Linked DNA regions of Mus musculus. The protein of the gene in region 5 interacts with the protein of the main gene of each other region in a biochemical or structural test. Links are inferred from orthologs where the notes say so. Each region holds a gene or a part of one and is shown on either strand. Other genes may lie near its edges. The genes, in order: Plcg1, Nedd4, Ncam1, Fgf8, Fgfr1, Fgf6 and Fgf4.

Evidence for each region.
Region 1: the proteins of Fgfr1 (region 5) and Plcg1 form a complex in vitro, tested with the Homo sapiens proteins (4 studies listed by BioGRID and IntAct, with this or other methods). The link is inferred for Mus musculus from reciprocal best matches to the Homo sapiens genes FGFR1 and PLCG1.
Region 2: the proteins of Fgfr1 (region 5) and Nedd4 form a complex in vitro, tested with the Homo sapiens proteins (2 studies listed by BioGRID and IntAct, with this or other methods). The link is inferred for Mus musculus from reciprocal best matches to the Homo sapiens genes FGFR1 and NEDD4.
Region 3: the proteins of Fgfr1 (region 5) and Ncam1 form a complex in vitro, tested with the Homo sapiens proteins (2 studies listed by BioGRID and IntAct). The link is inferred for Mus musculus from reciprocal best matches to the Homo sapiens genes FGFR1 and NCAM1.
Region 4: the proteins of Fgfr1 (region 5) and Fgf8 interact in a biophysical measurement, tested with the Homo sapiens proteins (2 studies listed by BioGRID and IntAct, with this or other methods). The link is inferred for Mus musculus from reciprocal best matches to the Homo sapiens genes FGFR1 and FGF8.
Region 6: the proteins of Fgfr1 (region 5) and Fgf6 interact in a biophysical measurement, tested with the Homo sapiens proteins (2 studies listed by BioGRID and IntAct, with this or other methods). The link is inferred for Mus musculus from reciprocal best matches to the Homo sapiens genes FGFR1 and FGF6.
Region 7: the proteins of Fgfr1 (region 5) and Fgf4 form a complex in vitro, tested with the Homo sapiens proteins (2 studies listed by BioGRID and IntAct, with this or other methods). The link is inferred for Mus musculus from reciprocal best matches to the Homo sapiens genes FGFR1 and FGF4.

What each region holds. Positions count from the first base shown.
Region 1 is NC_000068.7:160,758,810-160,762,309, forward strand, and holds part of Plcg1 (1-phosphatidylinositol 4,5-bisphosphate phosphodiesterase gamma-1), read left to right. Parts: intron 1-644; coding exon 645-741; intron 742-872; coding exon 873-1,097; intron 1,098-1,173; coding exon 1,174-1,322; intron 1,323-2,270; coding exon 2,271-2,385; intron 2,386-2,495; coding exon 2,496-2,657; intron 2,658-2,750; coding exon 2,751-2,839; intron 2,840-2,929; coding exon 2,930-3,114; intron 3,115-3,500. UniProt on the Homo sapiens protein: Mediates the production of the second messenger molecules diacylglycerol (DAG) and inositol 1,4,5-trisphosphate (IP3). Plays an important role in the regulation of intracellular signaling cascades.
Region 2 is NC_000075.6:72,692,115-72,696,097, reverse strand, and holds the start of Nedd4 (E3 ubiquitin-protein ligase NEDD4), read right to left. Parts: upstream 2,801-3,983; 5' UTR 2,660-2,800; coding exon 1,232-2,659; intron 1-1,231. UniProt on the Homo sapiens protein: E3 ubiquitin-protein ligase which accepts ubiquitin from an E2 ubiquitin-conjugating enzyme in the form of a thioester and then directly transfers the ubiquitin to targeted substrates. Specifically ubiquitinates 'Lys-63' in target proteins.
Region 3 is NC_000075.6:49,796,270-49,800,306, forward strand, and holds the start of Ncam1 (neural cell adhesion molecule 1 isoform 3 precursor), read right to left. Parts: upstream 2,801-4,037; 5' UTR 2,461-2,800; coding exon 2,409-2,460; intron 1-2,408.
Region 4 is NC_000085.6:45,740,085-45,744,258, forward strand, and holds the start of Fgf8 (fibroblast growth factor 8 isoform 2 precursor), read right to left. Parts: upstream 2,801-4,174; 5' UTR 2,601-2,800; coding exon 2,569-2,600; intron 2,469-2,568; coding exon 2,432-2,468; coding exon of another isoform or gene 2,240-2,431; intron 1,914-2,239; coding exon 1,827-1,913; intron 1,596-1,826; coding exon 1,415-1,595; intron 1-1,414. UniProt on the Homo sapiens protein: Plays an important role in the regulation of embryonic development, cell proliferation, cell differentiation and cell migration. Required for normal brain, eye, ear and limb development during embryogenesis.
Region 5 is NC_000074.6:25,556,759-25,560,258, forward strand, and holds part of Fgfr1 (fibroblast growth factor receptor 1 isoform 1 precursor), read left to right. Parts: intron 1-972; coding exon 973-1,062; intron 1,063-1,312; coding exon 1,313-1,485; intron 1,486-3,500. UniProt on the Homo sapiens protein: Tyrosine-protein kinase that acts as a cell-surface receptor for fibroblast growth factors and plays an essential role in the regulation of embryonic development, cell proliferation, differentiation and migration.
Region 6 is NC_000072.6:127,014,376-127,018,341, reverse strand, and holds the start of Fgf6 (fibroblast growth factor 6 precursor), read right to left. Parts: upstream 2,801-3,966; 5' UTR 2,757-2,800; coding exon 2,411-2,756; intron 1,349-2,410; coding exon 1,245-1,348; intron 1-1,244. UniProt on the Homo sapiens protein: Plays an important role in the regulation of cell proliferation, cell differentiation, angiogenesis and myogenesis, and is required for normal muscle regeneration.
Region 7 is NC_000073.6:144,859,967-144,864,185, forward strand, and holds the start of Fgf4 (fibroblast growth factor 4 precursor), read left to right. Parts: upstream 1-1,419; 5' UTR 1,420-1,538; coding exon 1,539-1,866; intron 1,867-2,265; coding exon 2,266-2,369; intron 2,370-2,798; coding exon 2,799-2,975; 3' UTR 2,976-4,219. UniProt on the Homo sapiens protein: Plays an important role in the regulation of embryonic development, cell proliferation, and cell differentiation. Required for normal limb and cardiac valve development during embryogenesis.

The DNA.
Region 1 (3,500 bases), on a different chromosome or scaffold from region 5:
CACAATGCTGAGGATTTTGTTAGTGTGCCCCGGAGGGCAAGGTACTGAAAGATCCAGTGGCTGGCAGGCTAGACCCTGCCTGGATTTAGCCTGGAATGAAAAGAAAGATTATAAATAGTGGAGCCCCTGAAGGAGAAGACTACAAAGAACAGTGTGGGGAGTGCCTGAGTAGGCTGCAGCTAAGATCGGGAACGGGAGGAGGAAGGCTGCATTGGCCATGGGGACGTGAGATGGTAAGGTCGTCTAAGGCACACACATTGCCAGGTGGGCTTAAGGCCTTAGTGCTTCAGGGAACCGGGAAGCAGTGTTTTTGCTGAAGGACGAGGCTAGGTAAAGAATAATCAGAAAGCATTATTGGGAGGGCCTTGCCGACCTTAGCTCCATGTGAGGTCATTTGGCACTTAAGTTATGGTGAGACTTCCACCCCAAGAGGGTTGGGGAACAAGTGTATCTGTGGAGACGAAGAAAGAGATAATTTTTGGCCAAAACTGGGAGCCAGTAGTTTTGTTTAGTGTCTGCTGCTATTTAAAATGTGCAAGGAGAGAAGAGGGCCTCAGAACACCTGAAGTGTGTGTGTACCCAAGGCTGGTAGGAGCTTCCTTCTCCTGGGCAGGGCTCAGCCTGGGCCTTGTGTGTGTCACCAGCTCACTGAGGGAAAGATGATGGAGAGGAGGAAGAAGATCGCCTTGGAGCTCTCCGAGCTTGTGGTCTACTGCCGGCCCGTTCCCTTTGATGAAGAGAGTAAGGCTGGGGCCAGGTGTGGTGTGCATGTGCTGAGGGGCTGGTGGCTTGAGAGTGGCGTTTAATACCCTGTCCCTTACATACACTACACAAGGGGGCCGCTCTATACACGCTCTCACTGTTTGGCTCAGAGATTGGCACAGAACGTGCTTGTTACCGGGACATGTCCTCCTTTCCGGAAACCAAGGCTGAGAAGTATGTGAACAAGGCCAAAGGCAAGAAGTTCCTCCAGTACAACCGGCTGCAGCTCTCGCGCATCTACCCTAAGGGCCAGAGGCTAGACTCCTCCAATTATGACCCTCTGCCCATGTGGATCTGCGGTAGCCAGCTTGTAGCACTCAATTTCCAGACCCCAGGTGAGGGGGTCTCTGTGGGTGGGGAGAGACACTTAGGGCAGTTCCACTGGAGCACACTGTAATCCCACTCTTGCAGACAAGCCTATGCAGATGAACCAGGCCCTCTTCATGGCTGGTGGGCATTGTGGCTATGTGCTGCAGCCAAGCACCATGAGAGACGAAGCCTTTGACCCCTTTGATAAGAGCAGTCTCCGAGGTCTGGAACCCTGTGTCATTTGCATTGAGGTGAGTATATTTGTCTGGGTTCTTCAGGGTGGGAAAGGGTTATGAAGACCATTGATACTAAACCTGCTAAGAAGGTGGCGACCAGGTGGGTCAGCACAAGTGGGAAAGGGTACAGGGCCAGAGGTGAGCAGCATTTCTGCTTTACATTGGGGAAGAGAACTTATCTTGGTCTATTCCTGAGCTTGAAGTAGGACCACCTGAAGTGGAAATCCAGCTACAGGTTCTCTGTGAGGTTGGGATCCCAGGGGTAGCATGGCTGATCATGGCCAGTTTTTGGCACAAATGAGTTAGGATGTCGGGTTAAAGCTAACCTGTGAAAAGTCACTACCTGGAAGGAAAAACCTGGTCAGAATGACACAAATCAGGCTAAAAGGGGCCTGTGCTGAGCCAGGCTCCTGTCTGCAGGACCAAGCAAAACCTGAGCTTGCTAGAGCATGACCAGCAGCCTGTTTGCCTTTCCCAGTTCCTAGAATAGAGCTCCCCAGTCCATGTCTGGTGAAATGCTGTGATCAAGGGTCAGCTCAGCCTTCGCTATGGGAATCAGCAGGGGTGGCCTGAACAGTCTGGAAAGAGTAAGAATAGTCTATGGCCAGCTGAGCACACTTAGGAGCACAGAGCCACAGATGGACATGACTGCTACTTTCCAGATATTCCCTCTAAAGTGGAATAATTTAAAAGATTCCCACATTGGAACAGACATGGATTTAACATGAAATGGACTGCCAAGTACGCATGATACTTAGCTAAAGCTCAGGGTTTTACAGCCAACAGCTTGCTCTGGAGTGAACAATGAGCGGCCTAATGGGCAGCACCTTCAGGGCCCAGCAGGGGGCATACTGCCTCCATGGTGCATTTTCCTCCACGATTTGCTCCCCAAGCTTCTGCTGGGAGGATGTTCGGGGTGCTGGGGGGATGTCATCACCCCATCTCTGCCTGCCTGCCTCACAGGTGCTGGGGGCCAGGCATCTGCCGAAGAATGGCCGGGGTATTGTGTGTCCTTTTGTGGAGATTGAGGTGGCTGGGGCTGAGTACGACAGCACCAAGCAAAAGACGGAGTTTGTAGGTAAGTCAGTCTTCCCTCATTACCCATCATTCCCCTGGGGTGTTAAAGACCTCTCCACCAGTCATCACATCCCGTAGATGTGGCCTCAGCTTTTGCCCTTGCTTTCACAGTGGACAACGGACTGAACCCTGTGTGGCCTGCTAAGCCCTTCCACTTCCAGATCAGTAACCCAGAGTTTGCCTTTCTGCGCTTTGTGGTGTATGAGGAAGACATGTTTAGTGACCAGAACTTCTTGGCTCAGGCTACTTTCCCAGTAAAAGGCCTGAAGACAGGTGAGGAATCTTCCTTATAAAGTCTTGCTGTCAGGATGGGGCTTATCCACTTGCTTGACACTTGATAGGCTGAGAGCCAGGTATTTCTCTTAGGATATAGAGCAGTGCCTTTGAAGAACAACTACAGTGAAGACCTGGAGTTGGCCTCCCTGCTCATCAAGATTGACATTTTCCCTGCTAAGGTAACTACAGCAGCGTGAGCAGAGAGTTCAGTCATAGCCCCTGAGATGCAGAAGAGACCTCAACTTTTGTGCACTTCCCTTGCTGAGCAGGAGAACGGTGACCTCAGTCCTTTCAGTGGCATATCCCTAAGGGAACGGGCCTCAGATGCCTCCAGCCAGCTGTTCCATGTCCGGGCCCGGGAAGGGTCCTTTGAAGCCAGATACCAGCAGCCATTTGAAGATTTCCGCATCTCGCAGGAGCATCTAGCAGACCATTTTGACAGTCGGGAACGAAGGTGAGGGAGATGAGGGGAAGTTAGCCAGTGTGGGACCTTGGAGGAAGGGTGCTGGAGCCAGAAAGATCAATCCTTTGGCAGCTTTCTCCTCTGTGGAAAAGGGATAACCGTGTGTCTTGGGTTGTCCTGTCTGGCTGCAAGGCCAGTAAGGACACTTCACTTCTGTTCAGGGCCCCAAGAAGGACTCGGGTCAATGGAGACAACCGCCTCTAGTCAGACCCCACCTAGTTGGAGAGCAGCAGGTGCTGTCCACCTGTGGAATGCCATGAACTGGGTTCTCTGGGAGCTGTCTACTGTAAAGCCTTCTTGGTCTCACAGCCTGGAGCCTGGATTCCAGCAGTGAAGGCTAGACAAAACCAAGCCATTAATGATATGTATTGTTTTGG
Region 2 (3,983 bases), on a different chromosome or scaffold from region 5:
AACTTCTTAGGTTTCTTTGAATGTAGACTCTGTGAGTAACATCGACTGAATTGGCAGAGTACTAATGCTGCTTTAAGGACCCAGCACTTTGGGGAAGAGAATTAAACCGATTATAATGTTCCAAAAACTGTTTTAGAAAAATTTTGCAAGTGGAATGAATAACTCTAAAACAAAGATCAAACTTTGAAATCTAATCTTCTCTTATCCCCAGTGAAGTAGCTGCGTAGATTAACCTTGGGTGGACACAATGATTATATTTTCCAGATTTCAAAAGAGAGAAAAAAGAGCCCAATTACCTAATTTTCTAACTCCATCTGTCTAGACATTATCTGGATTCCCCCCACACTCCTCCAACATTTAATACAGGCATTGCCATGAAAAGAAGCAAGGTCCCTTCACAAGAAAGAAATAGAGCACGCCAGCCAGCATATGTGTTGTCAATCTAGAGCTAATGTCGTCAGAAAAACAATTAAATTTCCTGGAATTTTGCAAAACCTTCCAAATACAGACATGGTAAAGGCTACTTTAGTTTTAAAGATTGTAAATAATTTGAAAAGGCCAAATTACATAAAATGCCAATCTGGCTAAGATCTGTTAGAGCTAAATTACTAATAAAATAAAGCAACATTGTGAGAACAATAAACTAGTGTAGTAAATTGAAAATTATAGAAACTACCTAGTACGTTTAAGCCAATTCAAACACATAAAACTTAGAAATCAATACTGCTGAAAAAGTGAGTTACATTTTGGGAGACAGCGATCACTGGGAACTCAGGAAAAATAGGGTGCAAACAGCATTCCTGTGGCTAGGGTGTATGTAAATGCAAAGCCCACTTACTTTTCCTCTGCTTGAAACATTCAATATAATAGTCTTTTTGATCAGCGATCTTACAAATACATGTGTTTTAAGAGGGAGAAGAAAATCCCATTTCTGAAGGTAAGAAGAACAAATATCCCAAGATCGAGTGTTATGACATCGAGCCAGTTCTGGAAGAATTTTAGGATTTAAATCACCAAGGAAAGGTTTTTTTGGTTTTTTTTTTGTTTGTTTGTTTTAAAAGTAGTTTATCCATTGGTAAAATAAGAAAGAGCTTTACAAATATAAAATTGAAGCTTTCTAAAAACTTCCTCACTAAGGGCCACAGAAAGGAACAGATAGTGCTATAATCAAGTATAATCAGTATAGCTAAGAATTCCAGGAAGTATTTTTTCAAGACCAGAGGAATCTTACCTTACAAACATCAGACAGTTCATTTGTCAAGTCTCTCTGTCTCCAGAAACTATCAACTTTACCATCATTCCCAGATGCAAACTTAATGAGCAACTGAGATGGTCCCCCCTTTGAACAATTGTGCTTCAGGCTGGATAAGCAGGAAATATTTGGGTATGTCCCACCCAGCGAAACACTTCTTTGCAAAGCAGCATGGCCTTTGCTTATCGGTGAATTTGGTCTTTCCAACTCTCCACGGATGTTTAAATGGTAACCCATGTCTGATGCGGTTGGCAAGCAAGGGGATGCCCTCTGTTTGAGCATGCCATGGTCCAAATCAGACTGCAGCTGAAGTTCTAACCTCTCTGATGTGCAGCCACCACGGGGGTTTGCACAATCTGATGTCGTTGGTTTTTGTTGGGTCAAGTGCACGGAAACACAGGAAAATCCTTCTGGCAACTTCTCACACACAGTTTGTTTGGGCCTATTATTTGAAATGACAATTTTCTTTTGCAATGAGCCCTTGGCATGGAGTGGCCGTACATCTCTGACTTCTCCAGGAGTACAAACCATTTTAGATAATCGAAGCCCGTTGACAGCTGTTGACAGAAAGCCTTTGGTGCCAGATCCATCTTCATGATGTGCAGTTTCAGTAGGTGATACAACCAACTGGTGTGAGGTCTGGTAGGCACCTCTGCTCGTCGGGGATGCTGGTGGGGTGTTTGAAGGACTCCTGGGGAAAATGACCAAAGACGTGCAGCGCTTCAGTGGACCCTTTGCGTTCCTACTCACTGGCAGTTTCATAATCTCTACTCCACGATCCAGGTCCTCCTGGGCAAAGGGAAGTCTACTGGGACTTCCGCACATAACTTCACGGGGTGTAGTGTCGACTGGCACGCTTCTGTTGGAGGCGTTGTCAGAAGGTAAATTTCCACTGAAAAAGGTCTCATAGCCACTACTGTCGCTGACACCACTGCCGGTGGAGGAGCCTCCACTTGCGAGGCTTGCACAAGACCCACAGTCACTGCCACTGCTGCTGTAAGACCCACTGTCACTGGCTGAGAAGTTACTGAGGCTGCCATTGTCCAGCTCACTGTCAATTCCACTGCTGCTGCAAACATCATCCTTTGAAGCACAGGTAGAGGAAGTACTGTCCCTATCAGCCACGACAGTGTCAGATGGAAGACACCCTCCGTATCTGGGCTGCAGTGAGATCTGCAGGCAGCTGCTCTTTTTGTCAGTACTTTCAGAGGATCTATGCTCTACCCACGGAGCCTGTGGCGCCTGTCTGGGGGTCAGCCTCATTTGAACCACACTAGCCACTGAGATCCGGGGCCGCCTCTGGCCGTGTGTGTCAACGTGGCTATCCAAGTCATCTCCAGAGGGTTCCGACAGAGGGTAAGTCTTGCTTCTTCTGGCGGCAAAGTGCAGTCGTAAACTCTGTGCCATTTGTTCTCATTTCCAAGCATGTTCAGGGCTGAGAGTCAAAACAAAGAGCTCTGTCTGTAGTCAGGCTAGCGCAGCTGTGCTGCATCCAGAGGAAAAAACCATCGGCGGTGTTGAAAAAGCTCGTGGGGAGGCGTCTTTAACTTCAGATACCAGATTTCATAGAAAAGGACGACCCATGCCCGAGATTGACGTTCCCCAAGTGTCTAGAATCGCCGGGAGTCAGAACGCCTTCACTGACAAAGCACTTGATTTCCAGCGACCTTTAAGCTGAGCTCAGCTGCAGCCCTGACTCAAACACAGCCAACCTTGTTTCAATTATACCTTCGCCAATTTGCATGAATGAGTAACGCAAGAACAACAAGCTTCTTCAATTTCAACTGGGAAACCTAGTTTTTCACCCCAGCCCTACAAAACGAACATTTAACTCCCGAAATCTCAGTGCCTACAACTTCCCCCGGTGATCCTCACCGCTAATATTTTCACTGAATGCTATAGGATTACAGGAAATGGGTACAAATAAAACCTGTGTGATTGAGTATCAAATTAAAGATTGAATTTCAAAATATGGCCATACTGAGAGATTTAGTCAGGTTTAATGCAGGGACTACGCGGACTGTAATATTTTTTCAGGAATGAGTAAATGAAAACAGCTGAATAACTTGGAAATACAAAAACGTGGGGTGAGGGGCATAAAGCCTAACCGTCAAATTGAACAAGGTAAATATTTTAGCAAAACACAATTATGAAAGTGAAAGTTGACAAACTGAACTACAAAACGAGCCCAGTAACATTGTTGTAAACACCAAATAACCTCCTCAAGGGGAAATTTTTAAAAAAAGGCTGAGGAGAAGCTGTCACCAACCATTTTGTCCTGTAATTTTAACGTTTAATGCAGCCAAGTAGTACAGTCTTTAAATGATGCCATTTATATTTTGACTATTAAAATCCTGCCAAGAAATAGCCTGGGTAAACATTCCATTAAAAACATATGCAGATTAGACAGAAAAGCTACACCCCAATATAGTCTGAACACATTGGATATTTTATTCCACTGTGTGCAATTCATTCACTTAAAGAGAGTGTTGTGGTAAGTAAAGAAGCCTAAAAAGGATTTAACACATCAAATAAACATATCTCAATGGCAATCCTGTTCTCGGAGAGTCCTCTGCGGGCCCTACTGGTGCTTTAAAACAACCCAGGCAGCTGTTAGACACCTATAAAGACAAGACATACAAACCAGGCCACATATTTCATAATATAAACAAGGCAGGCCCTTGTTTACATCTTTGCCCACTAGCATGGCCTCTGAGGTAGAATTACGAGT
Region 3 (4,037 bases), on a different chromosome or scaffold from region 5:
CTCTACAGCATTTGCAGCTTAATGACGGGGGATATTCATATATATCCTTCTTTTATATCCTTCCAAACCCTTTGGTCTGAATTCTCTAGATTTTTTTTTAAGCTGGTTAAAACAATACTTTAATTGAAAATTCTCTTTGTAAAACCACTTTCTTTTGTTAAACAGGCTGGTATGTGCTTCTTTCTCTTCGTCCTCGCCGCCTGGGTTTAGGGGCAGAATAAGGATTCTTTCGTTCCAGGGAACACTGGTTAGGATGCCAGTCTTGCCTGAGCATCCAGTATCACGCCACTGTAGGATTCCCTCCCTCAGCTCCCACCAGGATAGGAACACTGAGGGTTACACCCATCTCCATTATGGAGAAGACCACAAGGAGATCCTAAAAAGACGCATCATGGAAGATTAGGTCTCCATTGTCATGCTGCTATCCAGAAGGATGGTCTCAGTAAACACACCCTAAGAGGAGGTCACCCACAGCACCACAGGGAAGGGCACGCCTCTGCCAGTCCAGGGCTTGGTGGTGGCGAGGACCCATTTGGCACGCCCTGTCAAGACACGCCCTACCACACCCCGCCACGCCCCTCCACCCCAGCGTCTAGTCCTTGGCCAGAGGGTCAGCGCAGGCGCGTCTGCTCTCCGGGACACAGCTTGGGAGCTGCTGTCTTCTGCACTCGCAAGCGAAGCGCTCCGTCGCAACTGTGCGCCATGGACAGGGAGCCTGAATGCTCCAAAGCGCCAAGAAAGAAGCACGAGTGGGCGAGAATAAGCTAGCTGGACCAAGAGATGTCCCAGGGCCTATCCTTCTCCATTTTACGTCCTCGAAAACGGCCGTGCAGCTAGGGGCAGTAACAGGGCGGGGTCTCTCCCAACGGGAGGCGAGCGAGACCGTTAAGCTAGAACACCCGGGGACCATCCTGGCAGCTTGGGCGCCACCCGCGCCGCAATAAAAGCCTCTCGCGGCTTCCCGCCCAGCCAGCCTCGCTCTGATTGGTCGCCGATCAGAGTTGGCTGGAGGCGGTGGCCCAGCTCTGCTCTCTTGCTGCCCTCGGAGGGGGGCGCACTGGGTGCTCCCGGGGCCGCTCTGTGGGCTCCACACCCAAGGCTTAGAGATCTGGACCAGTACAGCCACACCAGGCAGAAGCCACAGCCATGCGCGGTCTCCTCCGCCTAGCCTGCTTTCAGCTGGTGCTTGGCAGCACACGCCCCCCCCCCGCCCCAGCTGTCGGCCCATCCCACCCAGCTCTCGGCGGCCCCAGTGCCCTTTGCTTCCCCCTCTCCCAGTCCATTGGGACGCCAAAGCACAAATCCTTGGGTGGGGTAGGGGCAGCAGCTGGAAGGGAGGGTGGGCACACTGAGGAATTTTCCAGGGAAAGCCGAGATGGAAATAGCCAAAATGCAATGCGCCCCCTTCCCGAATGCTAAGGATCTCTGGGCGGTGGCACAGCCCTCGCCACCCGCGACAGCGTCGCTACGGTCTTTCTCCCGAGCTCCCCATTGTTCACACTTTGCCAGGATCAGGAATATCGCCCAGAGAAAGGAAGAGGTGTCTTGGGCAGCTGGCTACCTGCCATTCTTCGCTGGCACCGTGCAACCCTAGGCTCTCGGTGCGTGTAAAGGCACACGCGCGCACACGCGCGCGCACACACACACAACCAGGCAGCCCCGATCACGCCCTCCTCACCCTCCGCCCCTCTGCACTTCCTCCTGTCAAAACGCGGCGCTGGACCCTCCCATCCCTCCGTGCTCCCGGCCGAGGGCAGGTTTTGCAACTACCCAGCAATTTGGCAAATGAAAAACTAACGTCATTTGCACGGGGGTGCAGGAACGACCACAGGGCCCTGCGGTGCTGCCGGTGGTTGCCCCATTTTGCAAACCGTTATTCGGGGCGGGGAAGACGGGGGAGTAAGCGAAGGCTGCAAGCCTCACTTTACCCCAGCCCGGGACATAACGGTGGGGGTAAAACTGCCCCAGCCTTATTGTTCACTCTTCTCGAAGCTTGACAAACACCTCTAGGTGAAAGATGAGCCTGGGGGGCGACACCACCCGAGCCACGCATCCGCCACCCGCCTTCGGGGAAGGGGAAAGCAGCGCTGCCCATCACGGCAGCATCCCGGTCCCCATACCCCTGTCCCACCTCCGCGGGCACACAAGTGGGAAGGGCGTGCGCGGCCGCCACTGAGCGGGGAGGCAGCCGCGTCCAGCGCCGTCCCGGAGGGCACGGGTTTGGCTGGCCAAGCAAGGACGATACGATGCGCTCCCTTCTCAGCTCAGTGAAAATGCTGTCTTTGCTTTACACACAAAACCAGCCAAAAGAACCGGGCTTCTCGGGGATAGGGAGAGAAGACAGGGGCAAGCGGACAATTAACAGACCCGATGTAGATTTTTTTTAATTAAATTAAATTAAAATGTACCTGCAGTTCCCAGGAAAAACAAAGTCCAGATGAGATCCTTAGTTCGCAGCATTGTAAACTGCCGGCTGGGAGGGATGTTCTGGCCGCGGTAAATTCAGTGCCTTCCCCTTGCAAGCGACTGTGGACGGCGGCGGAGCAATGGACCGAGGAGCAGACAATTGCCAGGCTGGGTATGATTATTTTTGCAGAATTGTTTCTTGCCAGCCACTGCCGAGCTGCGTTCACGCGCTGAGCGGAGAATGAGTGACAGTCCCAGCCTCAGCACACTCGCAACTCGGAGATCCCTGCGCTGGCCCGGGTTGGCTTTGATGGAACTGGGGATGCGAGCGACGGGCGGGGGGCGGAGGTGAGAGCCTCACTGTGTCCTTCCACCACGCCGACCACAAATAGTTCCTAACATCCAGGAGGTAAGAGACAGGGGAGGCAGATGCGGCTGCCTGTAAAACGCGGCCTGGAGTTACCAAGGGAGCCGGGCTCTTTCACAGGGAACCTTCCAGGCAGAGCTGGGATTTCTTTTCACCCTTTTCCTTCATTCACGTCTTTGGAGATCATTCTGCCCTCCGGCGTTCCTTAATCAGGAATTTGAACGTTTTTAATAATTAGGGGGAAAAAGAATTTTAGATTCGGTTCGATTTTCAAAGTTGTGGACACCCCCCCCTCCAGTTTAGTTACTAAAGTCCTTGCAATAAAAAGCATATGGCTGCTTCTGCTTCTTCTTCTTCTCCTTCTTCTCCTTCTTCTCCTTCTTCTCCTTCTTCTCCTTCTTTTCCTTCTTTTCCTTCTTTTCCTTCTCCTCCTCCTCCTCCTCCTCCTCCTCCTCCTCCTCCTCCTCCTCCTTCTCCTTCTTTTCCTCTTCCTCCTAAGAGAAGGAAATTGGAAATTTGGAGAGAGCTGAGGGCTGTGGAGGTTTGTTTTGTTGTTTGTTTTCTCCTGGCTATGAAGTTCATCTTCCCACAGAGGGAGCAACTCACAGCAGCACAACTCAGATCTCAGAAGTAGGGGGTGGGGAAGCCAGTCAAAAGAAAATGCAGAGCCATTTATAAGTAATATTCAGGAATAACCAGAAACTGGTATTGGGATCCTCCCTCTCTCTCCCTCCTTTGCCCTGGCTCTTCTGTGTGTATTAAGGCACAGGAGCGACAGCAAGCATCCTCCTTCAGCGGGAGACCTCCACTCTTAAGGCTATGAAAATACAATATGACTGAGATATCAACACAAAGACTTCCATTAATCAAGCAGCCTTGTTTGTTAAAAGAGGGGATGGGAACATAGTGAAATCAACACTCTTTAGCACCTGAGTGGGGCTTGAGTTGTGCAGGAAATACAAGTGAGGGTGCTCCAGAAGTGGCTCTGCTCAGTGAAGCCCTCTGACAGACCAAAGAGCCAGTTCACACACAATCCCAAGCCCTGCAATGTTCTTTAAAGGGCAGACTCCTTGATGCTTTAGCAGTCAGAAAACCCACCTTCTGCTAGCTGACCAGTCACCATCCAGCTCTCCTTTCCTCTGTATAATGTACCCAGTCCTATCACATGCTGCGGGTTCCAAGGATCCATGAGAAGCAGTCTGTCTCCCAGGAATCTTTCATGTTCACTTTTTAAATTTTTGCCTTATGGTGATTATAAACAATT
Region 4 (4,174 bases), on a different chromosome or scaffold from region 5:
GCTCGGCATTCTTTCCTTTTTCTTGTTGGGAAGCCGAGAAGGGCAGCAAGCAGCCAATTTGGAGGGACAAAGGGCCTGAAGGCCAGCTCTGCCAGCCCAGCGGGGGGAGCTCGGCCACCAGGCAGGCTGCCCCCACCCCCACCCAAAGAGTCCCCCCCTCTGGTCTCCTCGGATCGATCAGGGGAGCCTGGCCGTGTAGTTTACAGAGACTTTCCCAAGCAGGCTTTTGGAAAGCTTAACATTTTCGAACCTATTCTTCCACCCCAGTGACAGATTTATCCCAGGAAAATTATGTCTCCTCCTCTAGCTTTGAAGGGAAGTCAGCTATGTCGATGCTGAAAAAAAAATGCAGCGAGACATACTCGATCCCCCAAACTGGCTCGAGAAGAGGAGAAAGTATTCAGGAAACGTTAAAAAAGGTGAAAGTAAGAATAGTTTTAATCGCTCTGCCAGACGCGGGGGTCTCTCCAGAGATTCGCAGAGAACAATCCTGAGCCTCTCTCTCTCTCTCTTTTTAACATTTACAGACTTGCAACTCCTTTCAAACTCTACATCTGAAAAAGAAAACGCCTGGTTCTTTTTCTGTTTTATATCATTCTCCATTTTTCTTCTTAGCTCTTAAAATGCCTCACCTTTTTATTACATTTTAATAGAGTTTTCCTTTCTCCTTTCATGCTCGCTTAAGTTGGTCATTATTTAAAGGTTTTTAAACTTACAATATCCCACTCTCTAAAAACAACACCAGCCACCCTGAGGGTTTGGCTTCCTTGTGGTACATCCAAGGAGTCTGGAAATTGGCCCCATTTCAAGACAAGAATATTGAATGTTGTAGAAATCAATCAGTTCTCAGCCCCTGCCCCAGTAGCTCCCTGTACTCAGCAGCCCTGCGGGAAGCCGCCAGCCGACTCAGTCCCCTGGGGTATCCACAGTGGAGCCCGGAGTCTAACTTGCAGGCCGAGTCTCCCTGTGCAATTGACCCTTCTGATCAGTTAGCAGTTCTGTCCCTTTTTCAAACTGGGCGAACTGGGGGATTTCTCTACTTTCTTTTTCCCACTCTCCTTTTGTGGGCCCTGGCGACATATCCTCTTTCAAGAACTCCCCTTAAATTTGGGCCTCTCCTCTGAACCCTCTGCCTCCACCTGCAGCCGGGTAGAGGTGTGTGAAGATTGTAAGGGAGACTCCTGGATTCATTCATTTGCGGAGCAGGGAAGAGAGGGCACCTGTTGGCCTCGTCCTCCCCAGGGTCCCTTCCCCACTATTCTCTCCAGCTGACCCCAAGGCACCTTTTCGTCTTAACTCCTTCCCTTCTCAGGTGGAGAGCCCGCAGGCCTTTCTGGCTGATGCAGCTGGGGCTGGCAAGGGGCGGCGAGGTCCAAGCTACCTCTCCTCTCCAGGGTCCGGGAATGCACCTTACCGAAGGGGTCTCCGTCTTCTGCCATGGCGTTGATGCGCTTGTTGGCCAGGACCTGCACGTGCTTCCCGCTGGTGCGGCTGTAGAGCTGGTAGGTCCGGATGAGGCGGCGGCTGAGCTGATCCGTCACCAGGCTCTGCTCCCTCACATGCTGTGTAAAATTAGGTGAGGACTGAACAGTTACCTTTAGGAAATTGAAAAATACACAGCACGCCATTATAACGCTACTCCGCCCAGGGGCCCCGAGTTGGTCCCCATTGCCCTTGTACCCGCCTCCCGCCGCGCCAGGCAGCCAGCGGGGACTGGGGGCATCCCCACAACATGCCGGCTCAGGCCACCAACCCCCTCGGGGAAGTCGCGCAGACCCAGCCCAGGATGGATGGATGAACCCGGGAATGAGGGAGTCTGGACCCACCTGTTGGGAAACACCCTGGGGCTCCCGGCCAGCTCGGAGCAGGGAAGTGGGCTCCCTGCCCAGCGCAGGCCCCCCGCCCGGGCCTTCCTAGAGGAGCAGGGTGCTTTTAAGTAGCGAGGCAACGCTACCCGACCCGTGACATTTATAAAGACAAATTTACGGAGCAAATGTTGAGAATGCAAAGGGCCTAGGTTAACACGATCGTTGGCCCAAACCGGCCACAGGTCTCCCCAGAGAGCAGCGGCGAGGATATTCGCTGCAACTACATCCCAACTACCCTTGACAAGGAACACCCGCTGACTCCAGCTCCCGCCTTCCTAGGAGGCCAGGTGTGGCTACAGGTAGCCTTCCCATCCACCCGAACTGGCCAGTCGCTGGGCTCAAGACCCTTGGGTTCTAGTCTCTCCACTCACTCGCTGTGTGACTTTAGGCAGGACACTGTCTCTCTGTTCCTTAGATCCCTCCTCGGGGTAGTTTGGGGCTGGATTTGTAAAGTTCTTTCCAGCCCTGCTGCGCTGGCCGAAGGGTCGGTCCTCGTGTCCCTGCCCGAGAGTGTCAGCTGGGTTCCCCGCGCCCGGCCCCCGCTTCTGCGCAGCGCTCCTTACCTGGGCTTGGAGGCAGAGAACCAGCAAGTGCAACAGCCTGTGGGAGACAAAAGCGGGCAGGAAAGAGGCGCGGGGTGAGCGGAGAGGGCTCGGCGGGCGCTGGCCGACGGGGACGCGGGGGCGACCGCGGTACTCACAGGCAGCTCAGCGCGGAGCGGGGGCTGCCCATGGCGCGCGGCCCCGGGAGCACTGAGAGCCCGAGCGGGGTCACGCCGTCCCACTGGAGGCCGCGGGGGGACAAGCCGAAGGTGCGGAGGCTGAGGGAGGTCGGGGTGCGGGAGGCCAGCGGCTATCCCGACGCGGCTCGTGGAATGTCGTGCTCGCCGCGCGCGCCGAACCCCTCTGAGCCGCTGCTGGAGCCGGTGGCCGCTGGCTGCTCAGGAGCCCGAGCAGGCGGGAGGGTAACGGGCCTGTGGGGTGGGTGGGGAGGTGGGAAGGGAGGGGGAGGGCAGGGGCGGGGGGCGCCGCACCGGCCGCGAGGGGGGAGCGCGGGGCGGGCGGCCGGAGCCCGCACCCCCGGCTGGGCGCTGGGGCCGGGTCGCCGCCCGGGGCGGGGGCGGGGCGGCCGGGGGCGGGGCGGCGGGCAGAGCAGGGATTGGGGGGTCTGGCCCAGGGGAGGGGTCTAGGGACCCGCGGGAGGGGCGGGGGCGGCTGGTGTGGGCGCCTCCCACTACCCTTGCCTGTCTCTTCCAGCGTTCCGGGGGCGGGATCGTCCAGGGATTGGGGGGCGTCTGGGACAACATGTTTAGTGGGGTCCCGTACACTTGAGTCCTGCAGGACTGTTGATCTGCTTAGGGTCGGGTCTGCTTATCTCTGGCCTCCTAGAAGGTCTCTGGGTCGCCTAATGTGTGCTGCGGTCGCACGCGCCCCTCTTGGGAGCCTGCAGCTAACAGTGAACTGGGCCCCGGTGCTGAGCGTCCCCTTGGGCGCCACTGGAACCCGGTGCCTTCACCTTTCTAAAAACCCAACCCCGCTGGTTTTCTGTCTCACAGTCTCCAAAGAGGCTCTGGGAGGGAGAAATGCCCCTTGCCACCCCATTATCACCTTCAGCCTTGCTCCTGTCCATCCAACTGCACTAGTCTATAAAGCTTAAGAAAAACCTTGAAGCGTCTATGTGGTAAGAGCTCAGGGGTCTCTGAAGGACCCACAGCCACTGCTTCTGAGCAATTAGCAGGGGCAAAAATAACTACGTTCAGCAACATTCAGGACACGGACCCAAGCTGCCTAGCCTTTCCCCTTCTGAGTTCCAGGTTTTCCTTGAGCAGGTACCTGGTGTCTTGTGTCACTTGGAAGAGGGAGGTGCTGGTGAGAAGGTAGAGACTTCTGTAAGCCTTTTCAAGCCCGTCGCCCCATTGCTTTCTCCATAGGGTTTCTGGGAACCCTGAGCCACTATTTTGTTACCGCAGGCACAGAGATTTCCCAGGCCAGGTATTTTTGAAGACCAGGTGGCTCCGTGGATGTACCACCCAGCTCTGCCTTCATCCACAGCCTCCCCTCTACTGATCCTCTGTGCCTCCGGGGTAGAACTAGGGGTTTGCGGTGGCCCCAGAAAGTCTTTGTAGGCTAAAGAGAGGCAAGCAGGCCCTTGTCAGTCCCCATCCGGTTCGGCCTGCCGCCCCCCTTTTATGCATCCCATCTTGCAAATGCAAACACGGAGTAATATATATATATATATATATATATATATATATATATATATATATGGTTAGGGGAGTCCATCTCAGCCCTTCAAGTGCTGAGCAA
Region 5 (3,500 bases):
CGGGTGCTGGGATTAAAGAAGCTACTGAACATAGCCTGTATTTACACAAAGTGCATCCCATTTGGGGAGTGAGGCTAGCTATAGCCGGCATAGTAGTGTACACCTTTAGTCCCTGCACTCTACAGGATGTATGTTTTTGAGTTTTGTTTTTGAAGCCAGCCTTGTCTACATCTCTACATCATGAGACACCCTGTCTTAAAACATCCACCAAAAAGGCAGCTCTGGGGCAGGAGAGATTGCCCAGCTGTTAAGAGAGCCTGACACTCTTGTAGAGTGGAATTGGTTGCCAGCATTCACATAGCTTGTTTACAGTTGCCTGTAACTTCAGGTCCTGGGGATCTGGCACCCCGTTCTGGCCCACCCGCCTTGGGCTCCTGCATACACATGGGACATACTCACACAGGCTCATATAGATACATATAAGTTTTAAAAACAATAAGACATCTTTGGGGGAAAGAGAGAGAGAGAGAAAGGAAAGCAGGCAGCTCCAGCCCTCAGGAAACTCATTCCAGAAGATTCTGATTGCAGGCTGGTCAGCCGGAGGCTTTAGAAGTAGCCTCAAGGCCCAGGTGTCTAGATCTGCCTGGGTTTCTCAAAGGCTGATGTCCAGAGAATACTGATTCCTCAGCTGCTGTTATGGATACCCAAGTGGTACTGTTAGCTGAGTGGCCTTGGTGTATAGGCTGGAATTAAATAAATTTGGGGGAAAAAAAGGAGCTGGCCCTGATAGAGCCATCTGAACTTTTAGGCAGAAGGCAGTGCGCTGGGGCCGGGATGAGCACTGGAGCACACAGCTCTTAAACACAAACTGTCACTGAGGCAAAATTCAGGAAAATTGGGAGTCCTTATGGGACGGCTGTTGCGTTATCCATGTCACCGCGTTGACCGCAGTGAGGTGGTCTGTCTAGACAGGGCGAATGCTGTTTGGATGGAGGTCTAGACGCTCCTCAGTCCCCCTCCTTCCTCTCACAGATGCACTCCCATCCTCGGAAGATGATGACGACGACGATGACTCCTCCTCGGAGGAGAAAGAGACGGACAACACCAAACCAAACCGTAGGCGTGAGACACTGTTTTCTATCTTACTGCCTTCGAGACTGGGAGCTGGGACTTAGAGGAAGGCCTGGCTAAAGTGGGAGGAGAGAGGCTCAGAGGGCCTGGGGGCCATGGTGCCTGGTTGCTGCCTCTCTAGAAGACCTAGGGTACTTACTGAACAGGTAGACGGGAGGCATGGGGTCCTGCCTGGGCCCTGGCTTCTGAGCCTGGCCGCCCCTGCTGCCCTCATTCGTCTCCTTTGGCTTTTCCTGTACAGCTGTAGCTCCCTACTGGACATCCCCAGAGAAAATGGAGAAGAAACTGCATGCGGTGCCCGCTGCCAAGACGGTGAAGTTCAAGTGCCCGTCGAGTGGGACACCCAACCCCACTCTGCGCTGGTTGAAAAATGGCAAAGAGTTTAAGCCTGACCACCGAATTGGAGGCTACAAGGTACGCGTGTGTACATACCAAAGAAAAGTTAGAGTAAGGCGCTAGAGCGGGGACTGGGATAGCAAGTCTCTATTATCTGCTATGATTACTTTGGGTTTTGTTGTTGTTTTGGTTGCCTTTGTAAAGGTGAGATTTTGTTGTTGTTGTTTTAGTTTAAAGTTTATTTTATAATGGTTTCACGTGTATGTATGTGTGTGTGTATGTATGTGTGTGTGTGTGTATATATGTATGTATGTGCCACATGTGTGCCTAATGCCTACAGAGGTCTGAAGAGGGTGTCAGATTCCTGGGAATTGCAGTGTTTTGATTTTTACTACTTTAGAATTTTTTTATTTGCGGGAGGATATGCATATGTGGAGATCAGAGGAAAACTGGGAGGACTCAGTTCTCCTTCACCTAGGTGGGTCCTGAATATCGCTCTCAGGTCAGCAGGCTTGGTCACAAGTCCCTTTCTTTACCAGTTGAGTCACCTTACAGGCCACCATTCACCCTCCCCTCCCTCCCTCTTCTCTTCCTTTCTCTCTCTCCCTCCCTCCCTTTGGTTTTTGAGACAGGGTCTCACTCTCTCCTTAGCTCTGCCTGGCCTAGAACTCACTATGCAGACCAGGCTGCCCTCAGGCTCACAGAGATCCACCTGCCTCTGCAATCCGGGCCCTAGGATAAAAGAGGGGCGTGTGCCACCACGACTGGTCCTCTTGTGCACTTTTAAAGGACCTTTCTCAGGACCGATTCCTGGAAGTGGAATTGTCAGATCCGACGGGGTAGATCTGTTTTAAGCTCTTAGTGCCCATAATCCATTTCCCTCTCTCCCATGCCTTTCCCCAGTGCTTCCGCTTCCCTGTTGGGTGTTAGAAGCCTGCACTGTTGAGTTTCATCTTCAGCCCCCAAGTCCTAAAAGGAAAAACCAGTCACCTTCCGTAACAGAATATTCGAATGACAGACTCACTAGACATTTGCCAAGAAGTACAGCTGGGTGAACACGTTTGTGTTGCTTTTTGATACCATTAGGCACTTCCTATGCTGATAAGCTGCTTCCTCTCCCTCCGGGGGGTCAAGTCCTTTGTATTTGTAGGAAGAACATTTTGATGAGAATCTCTTCCTTAGAGATCTGATGAGTCTCCAAGGTCCCCAAATATGTCTCTTTTCTCATACCTTTTTAACTTTTTTTTTACTGTGTTCCTTCTCTATGTGCCCCAGACTGGCCTGAACTTCCATTGCTGCTCCTGTCTTAGCCTTCCATGTGCTGAGATCACAGAGATGTGCCACCATGCATGGCTGTTCATTGCTCCTGTATAAGAAAAGTGAGAGGGGATGGCTGGAGAGGCAGCTTAGTGATTAAGCAGATAGCACTCTACTCTGGTCCAGAGGACCAGAGTCTGGTTTCCAGCACTCACCTCGGGCAACTCACCACCACCTATAACTCCAGCTTCAGGGTTTCTGTGGACACCTACACTCACATGTGCGCGCACACACACCCACACACACCCACACACACACACACACACACACACACACAATCTTTTTCTTTCTCTATTCATTATTAATTATTTGTTCTCCCCGCTCCCACCCCCAATCAGGGTTTCTCTGTGTAGCTCTGGCTGGCCTAGAACTAGCTCTATAGATCCGGCTGGCCTGGAATTCAGAGATCTGCCTGTCTCTGCCTCTTGAGTACTGGGATTAAAAGTGTTCACCACCACCAGTTCTTTTTCTCCTTCCTTCCTTCCTTCCTTCCTTCCTTCCTTCCTTCCTTCCTTCCTTCCTTCCTTCCTTCCTTCCTTCCTTCCTTCCTTCCTTCCTTTTTTAAAGAAAGAATATGGGGAAAGCTTTACCTGGCCTTACTTACCAAGTCCTTTTGTTTGCAAGTTAGGATTTTGTAACCACATCTGAAGGCGACTGTCAAAGGGCAGCTGTGGTAAGCAGCCTGCAGGGGGAGCTCCTCCATGCAAGAGCACGGGAAGGAGGAGGACGGGTCTGACCAGAGTCAACTAGAAGCAACGGGGGTTTCTGTGTGATAT
Region 6 (3,966 bases), on a different chromosome or scaffold from region 5:
TCTGAAGCAGGTCCTAAAATTCCATGCATCTAGCAGATTACAAAGTGATGGGTGCACAGGAGCGCCCACAGAACGGTACTGGAGAAGCAATGGTTTTAGCTCACACCATAAGCCAACTTTGAGACACTTGCTCAAAAAGTTGGGAAGTAGACACCCTCTGACTAGCTCACTTTAGTCTTTTCCAGATATCCTTTGCTGAGAGATTTCCCTGGGGACCTAGCACTTGTCCCCGGTCAGCTCTTCCCTTTCTATCCCCTATCTTGTTCCCCCAAGTGACTGGAGAATCAGACTCTATGCTCTCTTCTAGTGCATCTGAGGTTCCTTTCTCTTTAGCCACTGCCCTCTCATGTTTTGGTGCTAGGGGCCGAACTTCCCTGCGTTCCCACACATATGAGATCTACCACTTACTAGATCCAGCTTCCTTACTTCTGTCTAAGACATAAAAATTTCATAGACTGTCTTTCCGACACATTTTGAAATAGGCCATGTTGCAGGCCGAGAGCCCTGGAAGTGAGTGGGGCAGAGAAAACAGAGGCCTTAGAGAACACAGTAAATGCTTGCCCTTACACCAGAGGAGAATTTGTCTCTTAGCATTGGTCCTCCCACAGTGGTCTATGGTGTAGAGAGGCGGGGTCCAGTGCCTTCTGGGAAGGTATGACAGAGGGAGATACTACCATAGACTATGGGATCAGAGACCAGAGGCTGTTAAACTCAGCTACAGTCTCTCATCACTAGTGAAGAGGAGAGATAGGCTCCTTCTACAGATCTGTACCTCTCCGACAGTGTCTCCTGAAGGGGTGTCATGGGGGCAGCTCACCCAGGCTGACCCACAGGCCTGCCTTTCTGGGGGTGTCATGGGGGGCAGCTCACCCAGGCTGACCCACAGGCCTGCCTTTCTAGGCCTCTCCAGTTCAGCAACTCAGACCTGATTATGAGCTTGAATGACAGTTTTGGTCAGAATGCAGGCTTCCCTACCCAAGAGCTCTCTGAACTATGGCTTCTTTAAGGGCAAAGGTCTCGGTTGTGGGTTGGAAGAACTACAGGCTTGTGCAGAGGTTTCACAGTGAAACAGAGGAAGTGTAAGCTTCAAGGCACCTTGCCAGCAAAAGCTCCTTTCGCAGCCCTTTCTAATTCTCAAAAAACAAAACCAAAACAAAATAAAACCCCCTCAACTCTCAGTGTTATATGTTTTCAATGGTGTGACCGGGAAGAACCCAGGAGCATCCCCTCACCGCAGAACTCACCGTTGTGTACAGTCTTCCTTTACTGTTCATGGCAATGAAGAGAGCACTCTTCACCCCGAAGAGGCTCACCACACCCCGTTCTACCGTGGAGATCTCCAGCAGGCCTGACGAGGAAACAGAGAACACACTCTCATGCTCACGTCAACCCGAGTACTTCAGAGGCATCCCGCTGTCCCCCTTCTCCAGAGGCTCCACCTCTCCATCACATCTGTCCTTGATCTAGACAGTCCTATAGCATCCCTACACGACACTAGCTGCATCCGGTCACATCCTGGTAGCACATTCAGTTCCTTGTGGAAAAGTTTTTACACTGGAGTTGGAGATTGCAACGGACACTCAAGCATCTATTTAAGATTAGCTTTGCATCTGGGCTTTCCGTAGATCTGTCACCTGAGGTTCTCGACTTGAAGGATTGGAGTGGGGGTTGGAGATATAGCTCAGTGGTACAGTACTTGCATGACATGTCCTGGGTCCCTGGGTTTAATTCTCAACAACACACACACACACACACACAAGCATACACATACACACACATACACACACACCACACACACTCACTCACTCACTCACTCACTCACTCACTCACTCAATCAATCAATCAATTTTGATTATTTAAAGTCTGTTCTACATCCTTCAACTCAGTCCCCAAACACTGCAGCTACACTGAGCCAGATGGCTTGTCTGGGACCCTACAGCCCTTACCCTGCCTTGGCCAGAATACTGTCAATGCAGGCACCTGAAGCATGGCACCAAGGAGATGCTTCAGACGGGCATTTTTCAGACTACTTGCCCTTCCCTTTCAAAAATGACAGCTGAATAGAAACTCATGGTTTTAACCAAGATAGAGTATCATAACTTATCTCCCCTACCAGAGTAGTTATAATTCTTCAGGAAGACCAGATCTGGACCACTAATACTGGAGTAATTAGGATCATTGATGGAGTTACCTGGGATGATGGTTAAGGACACCAAGATGCAAGTAAAGGTCTTACTGAGCCTGCACCTCTTTCTGGGCAGGGCAGGGTGAGATCAAACCATTTAAACGTTACCCAGCACATCTTCCCTTTAGAGTGCAGCCCCACCCACCAGCATAATTTCCCTTCATCTTTTGACTCTGCTTGTGCCCAAGCCAGCAAGCACCCCAACTATCTTCTAGTGACACTCACTGTAGGGGTTCTCCTCGTGTGTTCCACTGATGCGGCCGTCAGGAGGCACCTGGAGGTGGAAGCCAATGCCCACGTTGCAGTAGAGTCTCCGCTGTCGCTTAATGCCCACCAAATAGCCGCTTTCCCAATTCACACCCGAAATCTCTCCAGCTAGCCCAGCTCGAGACCTGGACAAGAGGGTGCCCCAGCCTCTGGAGTCCAGTAGCGTGCCGTTGGCGCGGGCGCCGGCAGGTGAGGGCACCACCATGCCCACTAGGACGCCTAAGAAGACGAGAGCCTGCAGCGTGCCCTGAACACGTCCTGCTCCCCGGGACATAGTGATGAACAGCCTCTGTCCCAGGGCCATCCACCTTGCCTCTCAGGCACGTGGTCAGAATTAATGGCCCTAAAAATACCGCCCTTCTTGTTTTTCTCCCCTCGGCATGGCGGCAGGGGCTTATTTTTGGAAGGCAGATGAAGGCTGCTGACATGAAACCAAAGCCTGCTTCAGGCACTCGGATTGAGAGCAGAAGGACCCAGGCTGAGCTGTGGCCGGTATAGACCATGGCGTGGGGACGTTCTCTAGCCGGCATGCAGGGCTCTGTCCCAAGGTGATTCTCTTTGATTTGACCTATAGTTCAGTAACCCGGCCCTCCCCTTCACCCATCACCACCCTGACGTCAGCCGGCCCAGCTCACTTACCCAGGGCTGTAACATTAACCTGCTCCTGGGCCTGGCTGCTTCCCCAGACCCTCACCACCCTCTCCAGTCCCCAGGGATTCTGAGAGCCACTGTCATTCCAGCTAGAGGCAGGAATGAAGTTAGCAGAGAGCATCTCTGCGGGAGGGTGGAGCTGGCTGGGGGCCCAGGGAAGAGGGAGGCAGAGGCCACCCAGGACCCAAATTGGGCAGTAGCCCTTGGCCCCACTGCACTGGCTTCCTTAGAGGGCAAAGGGTAAAGAAAGATGGGGAGGGCGTGATGGCAGGTGATGGATGGTGGCCTACAAGTGGCTCTCAAGACCTATTCATGGAAAGAGCTCATGGCAGAGAAGGGCCCATCTACCAGAACAGGGCATATTCTGTATTGGGCATATAGGAGAGGGTTTGTCCGGAGAAACGAGGGCTGTGGAGACAAGGAGGGATGGGTCACCTTCTCCTGCTCACCCTTTCTGGCCATGGTCTTCAGTGACAGTGGTATCAGGCTATCCCCCTGCTTCAGTTCACCATTGGCCTCTAATAGCATTCCCACTTAACAGTTGCAAAAGTCAAGTCACAAAGAAGTTACGTGGCTTGTCTGAATTACTGTGGGCAGGCAGTAAGTAGAAGGGTCAGAACCTGCAGATTCTGCACAGGTCCAGAGGCTGTTCAGGACATTGCTTATAAATAAATTTTCAAGGACCACCACGCATCTTCCTTATTATTCCTTCCTTATTATAAACCATTGAGCAATCGTTTCACCAAGACAAAACGTTCAAATTCATTGTGTGGTTGAAGATGCTGACCTTGATCTTCAGAACTTGTACAGCAGGAATGAGCGAACAAGCCTGGTTGTATGTGGTGCCGGGGATTGAACATGGG
Region 7 (4,219 bases), on a different chromosome or scaffold from region 5:
GGGCAATGATCTAGATCTGATCCAGCCTGGGCCCAGCCCCAGAAAGGAACACCCAGGAGTGCCCAGACTAAGGCCTGCAGCCCTCCTCCAGTGACACAGCAGGGGATCTAGGGAACCCTGTTACAGGAAGGGATGTTTCTCAGCAGGGTGTGTGTATGCATGCTTATGTGTGTACATCCATGAGTGTGTGTGTGTGTGTGTGTGTGTGCGCGCGCGCGCGCGTGTGTGCGTGCGCACACGTGTTCGTGGGAGCCTGTGCACAGCTGACTTTGCTCCCTAGCAAGCAAGGCCAGCAGCAGCTCTACCTGCCACTGGAGGATGCGGTTATCCCAGGCTGCCAGGTGCATCAGAATGCCTCATTAAGGGATTTGGAGACATGGTGTAATCCCCACTAAGGGATAGATAGATGCTCAAGTGTCTCCTCTAGGTCTCAGGACCTGGCTGCATTTCCGTTGGTGTTCTGAGTAGGACCAGGAATGATTGGTGCAAGCCCAATGACAGAGGTTTGGCAGAAGGAAGCCACAGCTCCCAGAAGCTCTGGTCCAAATTACTGATTCCTCGGTGAGGGGGTGCAGCAGGCTCTTCGGCTCCTCCATCAGTGGCCAGGTCACCTGCTGGCTCCAGGTTCCTCAGATACCACAGAACAGGGACATTCACACCTAGGAGAACAGTACCAGGGTTCTGCCCAGTTCACCCCCATCAGGCCAGAATGGCCACAGTTGGGTGTGGGGGTGCTGGTGGGGGAAGGGACCCTTCCAGATCCTTAGAGTTTGACATGCTCCTGGGTTGGGAAGTTCTGGCCTCCACACTTGAAAATCTCTGGGGAACTGATGCCCAATGTCTTGCCAGCTTTCTGTCCTTGCCTTGGGTTACCTAGGAGGAAAGTGCGGGTCTCTGCTGTCCCTGAATGTCCTCAACCTGAGTTCTCTTAGAAGCACCCACTCCGTAGTTTAGACTTCCCATCACCTGGAAGACCCTTAAATTTCCAAGCCTCTGGGGCCAGACCAAGCCTTGCCTCCCTCCCTCCGATCGTGCCCTACCTCCCGGCTCCCTTAGAGTTACACCCTGATAGCCAAGCCACAGTGTGACTTGCCTCCCACCGTCAGCTCAAGCCAGTCCTTGGCGCAGCAGAAAGGTTCTGGCGGTTCACCAAGTGTCCCGCAAGGAAGGAGCACAGGAGATGCCCTGGGGAGCAGAGAGCCAAGGGGCGGGATCAACAGGTTCGAGTGCGGGGCGGAGCCAAGAGTAAGGGGTTGGGGTCTCTCCAGGTGACAGTAGCCACCGCCAGGCCCGCGCCTCCTCCCCCGGCGGTGATTGGCAGGCGGCCTGCGCCCCGGCTCCCAGGCGACCGACGCCCCGCGGGGCAGGCGAGTAGGAGGGGGCGCCGGCTATATATACCACTGCTCCGGAGGGCTGGGCGCGCGGGGACTATCCCGCCACCGTTGCGTCCCTATTTGCTCTCGCTACTTAGGTCTGTGCGCAGCACTCACCGAACTCACGGCCCGCAGCTCGAACTCACGCACGGCCCGCGGGCCGGGATGGCGAAACGCGGGCCGACCACAGGGACGCTGCTGCCCAGGGTCCTGCTGGCCCTGGTGGTGGCCCTGGCGGACCGAGGGACCGCCGCACCCAACGGCACGCGGCACGCAGAATTGGGGCACGGCTGGGACGGCTTGGTGGCCCGCTCGCTGGCACGCCTGCCGGTGGCCGCGCAGCCCCCGCAGGCGGCGGTCCGCAGCGGCGCAGGGGACTACCTGCTGGGCCTCAAAAGGCTTCGGCGGCTCTACTGCAACGTGGGCATCGGATTCCACCTGCAGGTGCTGCCCGACGGCCGCATCGGTGGTGTGCACGCAGACACGAGGGACAGTGAGTTCTGGGCGCGCCGAGGGGATAGGGTCCCGGGCAGTAGTAGTCTCGGGGGCTGAGTAGAGTCGAGCTCCCACCCCTTGGGCTCCAGGACTGAGAGCGCACCCGGCGGCCGAGCCCCGCCTCCCGCCTTCGGAAGCCTGGTCTCTCGGTGCGGAATTCCATCGCCTTCACCCGCCCGCACCCACGGGAGCCCGGGACAAGCGCCCAGACTGAGGCTGGACTTGAGGGCCACCGGTAGACAGGAGATGAGCTCTTAAAGCTTGCTTTGGGGACCCTGGGCTTTTCACCCCAGCATCGAGATCCCAAGAGGCTTAGAGTCGGAGGGTCTGTGTGGGTCCAGGGTCACCTAGGCTTTTCTGACCTGCGATCCCTCCCCCCCAACCCCCGCCTCCCCAGGTCTTCTGGAGCTCTCTCCGGTGCAGCGAGGCGTGGTGAGCATCTTCGGAGTGGCCAGCCGGTTCTTCGTGGCCATGAGCAGCAGGGGCAAGCTCTTCGGTGTGGTGAGTGCCAGCGGGTCTGGCTGGGCCACCTGCTCGATACAGTGTGCAAGACTAGCGGGATTGTAAACCCTTCACCCCACACATACACTTGTGTGTTGGTCACAGAGGACTGGCAGTAGGATTGCCAGGTCTCACGTTTTCAGTCAAAGTAGCCAGAGCCAGGCTGGGTTTCTAGACCAAGGGAACTACCCCATCCAATTTCCTCCTGAGTGAGGTACTTACTGATTGGGGCGGGTGGGGCGGGGAGAGGGGTACTCCAGCAGGAGATATTAAGTTGATAGGGGCAAAGCAGGTGAGCTAGCTATGCCTAGCGTGGACTTATCACCTCTTCGAAATCTGGGACAGTTTTGACACTCCGCCTACCTAAGAAAGATCTCTTGGGTCCCGATTGCGGCAGGTCCCTGGCTCACCCAGTACCCTCTTTCCCAGCCTTTCTTTACCGACGAGTGTAAATTCAAAGAAATACTTCTGCCCAACAACTACAACGCCTACGAATCCTACGCGTACCCCGGTATGTTCATGGCCCTCAGTAAGAACGGGCGGACCAAGAAGGGGAACCGAGTGTCGCCTACCATGAAGGTAACCCACTTCCTTCCTAGACTGTGACCCTCCGGAGCCCTGCCTCAGCCTCGGAAGCACACCCTACCCCTCAGGAGGAGCACTTTCTCTCGATGGAGAATTGTTTGCAAAAAAACTGGTCTAAGATATTTAAATTATTTAAATATGTATATATGGACGCCCAATTATTTATAATTTTATGTATTCTCATTTTCGGGGGGGGGGATATGACCAAAAGAACAAACAAATTGCAGCTCAGACCTCTTTGGAATAGCGGAACAGACTTCTTTCTTCACTATCAAAGATATGGGTGTGATGCTGTTTCATGTGTGCCTCTAAAACTTGGTGACATCAGTTTCCAAGGGTGCCTGGCCTGTAACTGGAAAGGCCTGCCTGGGACCTCTGAGGCAGTGAGAAGGACCCTGAGCGTTCCCGATCGGGAGCATTCTGCCGTCGCCGCTCCCTCTGCTTCCTTTGGTATGAACCCTGTCGGATCGGTTTACTCCAGGGACAGAAGTCCTCCCGCCTCTGTTTTTAGATCTCCAAGACTGATCTTTGAACTCTCTTGCAGTCAATCATCTTCTTGGACCTACCGGATAGGAGACCCTTAGACAACTTTATAAACTCCTGTTTGCCATTTTTGGACTGGCCAACAGGGCACGTTGCTTGTAGCCACTGGAACTTTGCTTTTCTGGAGAGGAACTAGGAATGGACAAGAGGGTGTGTGCGCTCGCCACAACTCAAAACTCTGGGGATGAAATTCTGTTTTGTGATAGAGGATGATTTGTTGGGATATAACAATGTATTTTGCAAGAATCAAACTGAGAAAAACAGGCTTCCCTGAATATGGGAAGCTTTGTGCTGGAACTCCATAATTTAAGGGTGAGCTGCCCTTTCCCACCCCAGGCAGCCTTTATGCAGGCAGACTGCAGGAGTCCGAATTCCGGTGCTGCCCCAAGGTGAAGGAATTCTATCCCCATCTACCTCAGAGTTCCTGAGACCCTGGTGACTAAGCTGGAGGCTCTGCTGGGTGCATCTGCCTGCTTCTCTTCCACATGTAGTATCTGGACCCTTGTCACGTTCCAGCTATCTTTACCCAATGATTTACTTTTAGTAAGGGGTATTCATGGTGAAAATATGCACGACCAGCTGTCGGAGTGCACTATATGGTCACCAAGTCAAGTAACCCTTATATTTTTCTTTATATATTTTACGAATGTAACCCCTGTCACTGAGACCAAAATGGAAGAGCAGGGTCGGTGGCATTTAAAAAAAAGGGCTGAGGTGAGGGA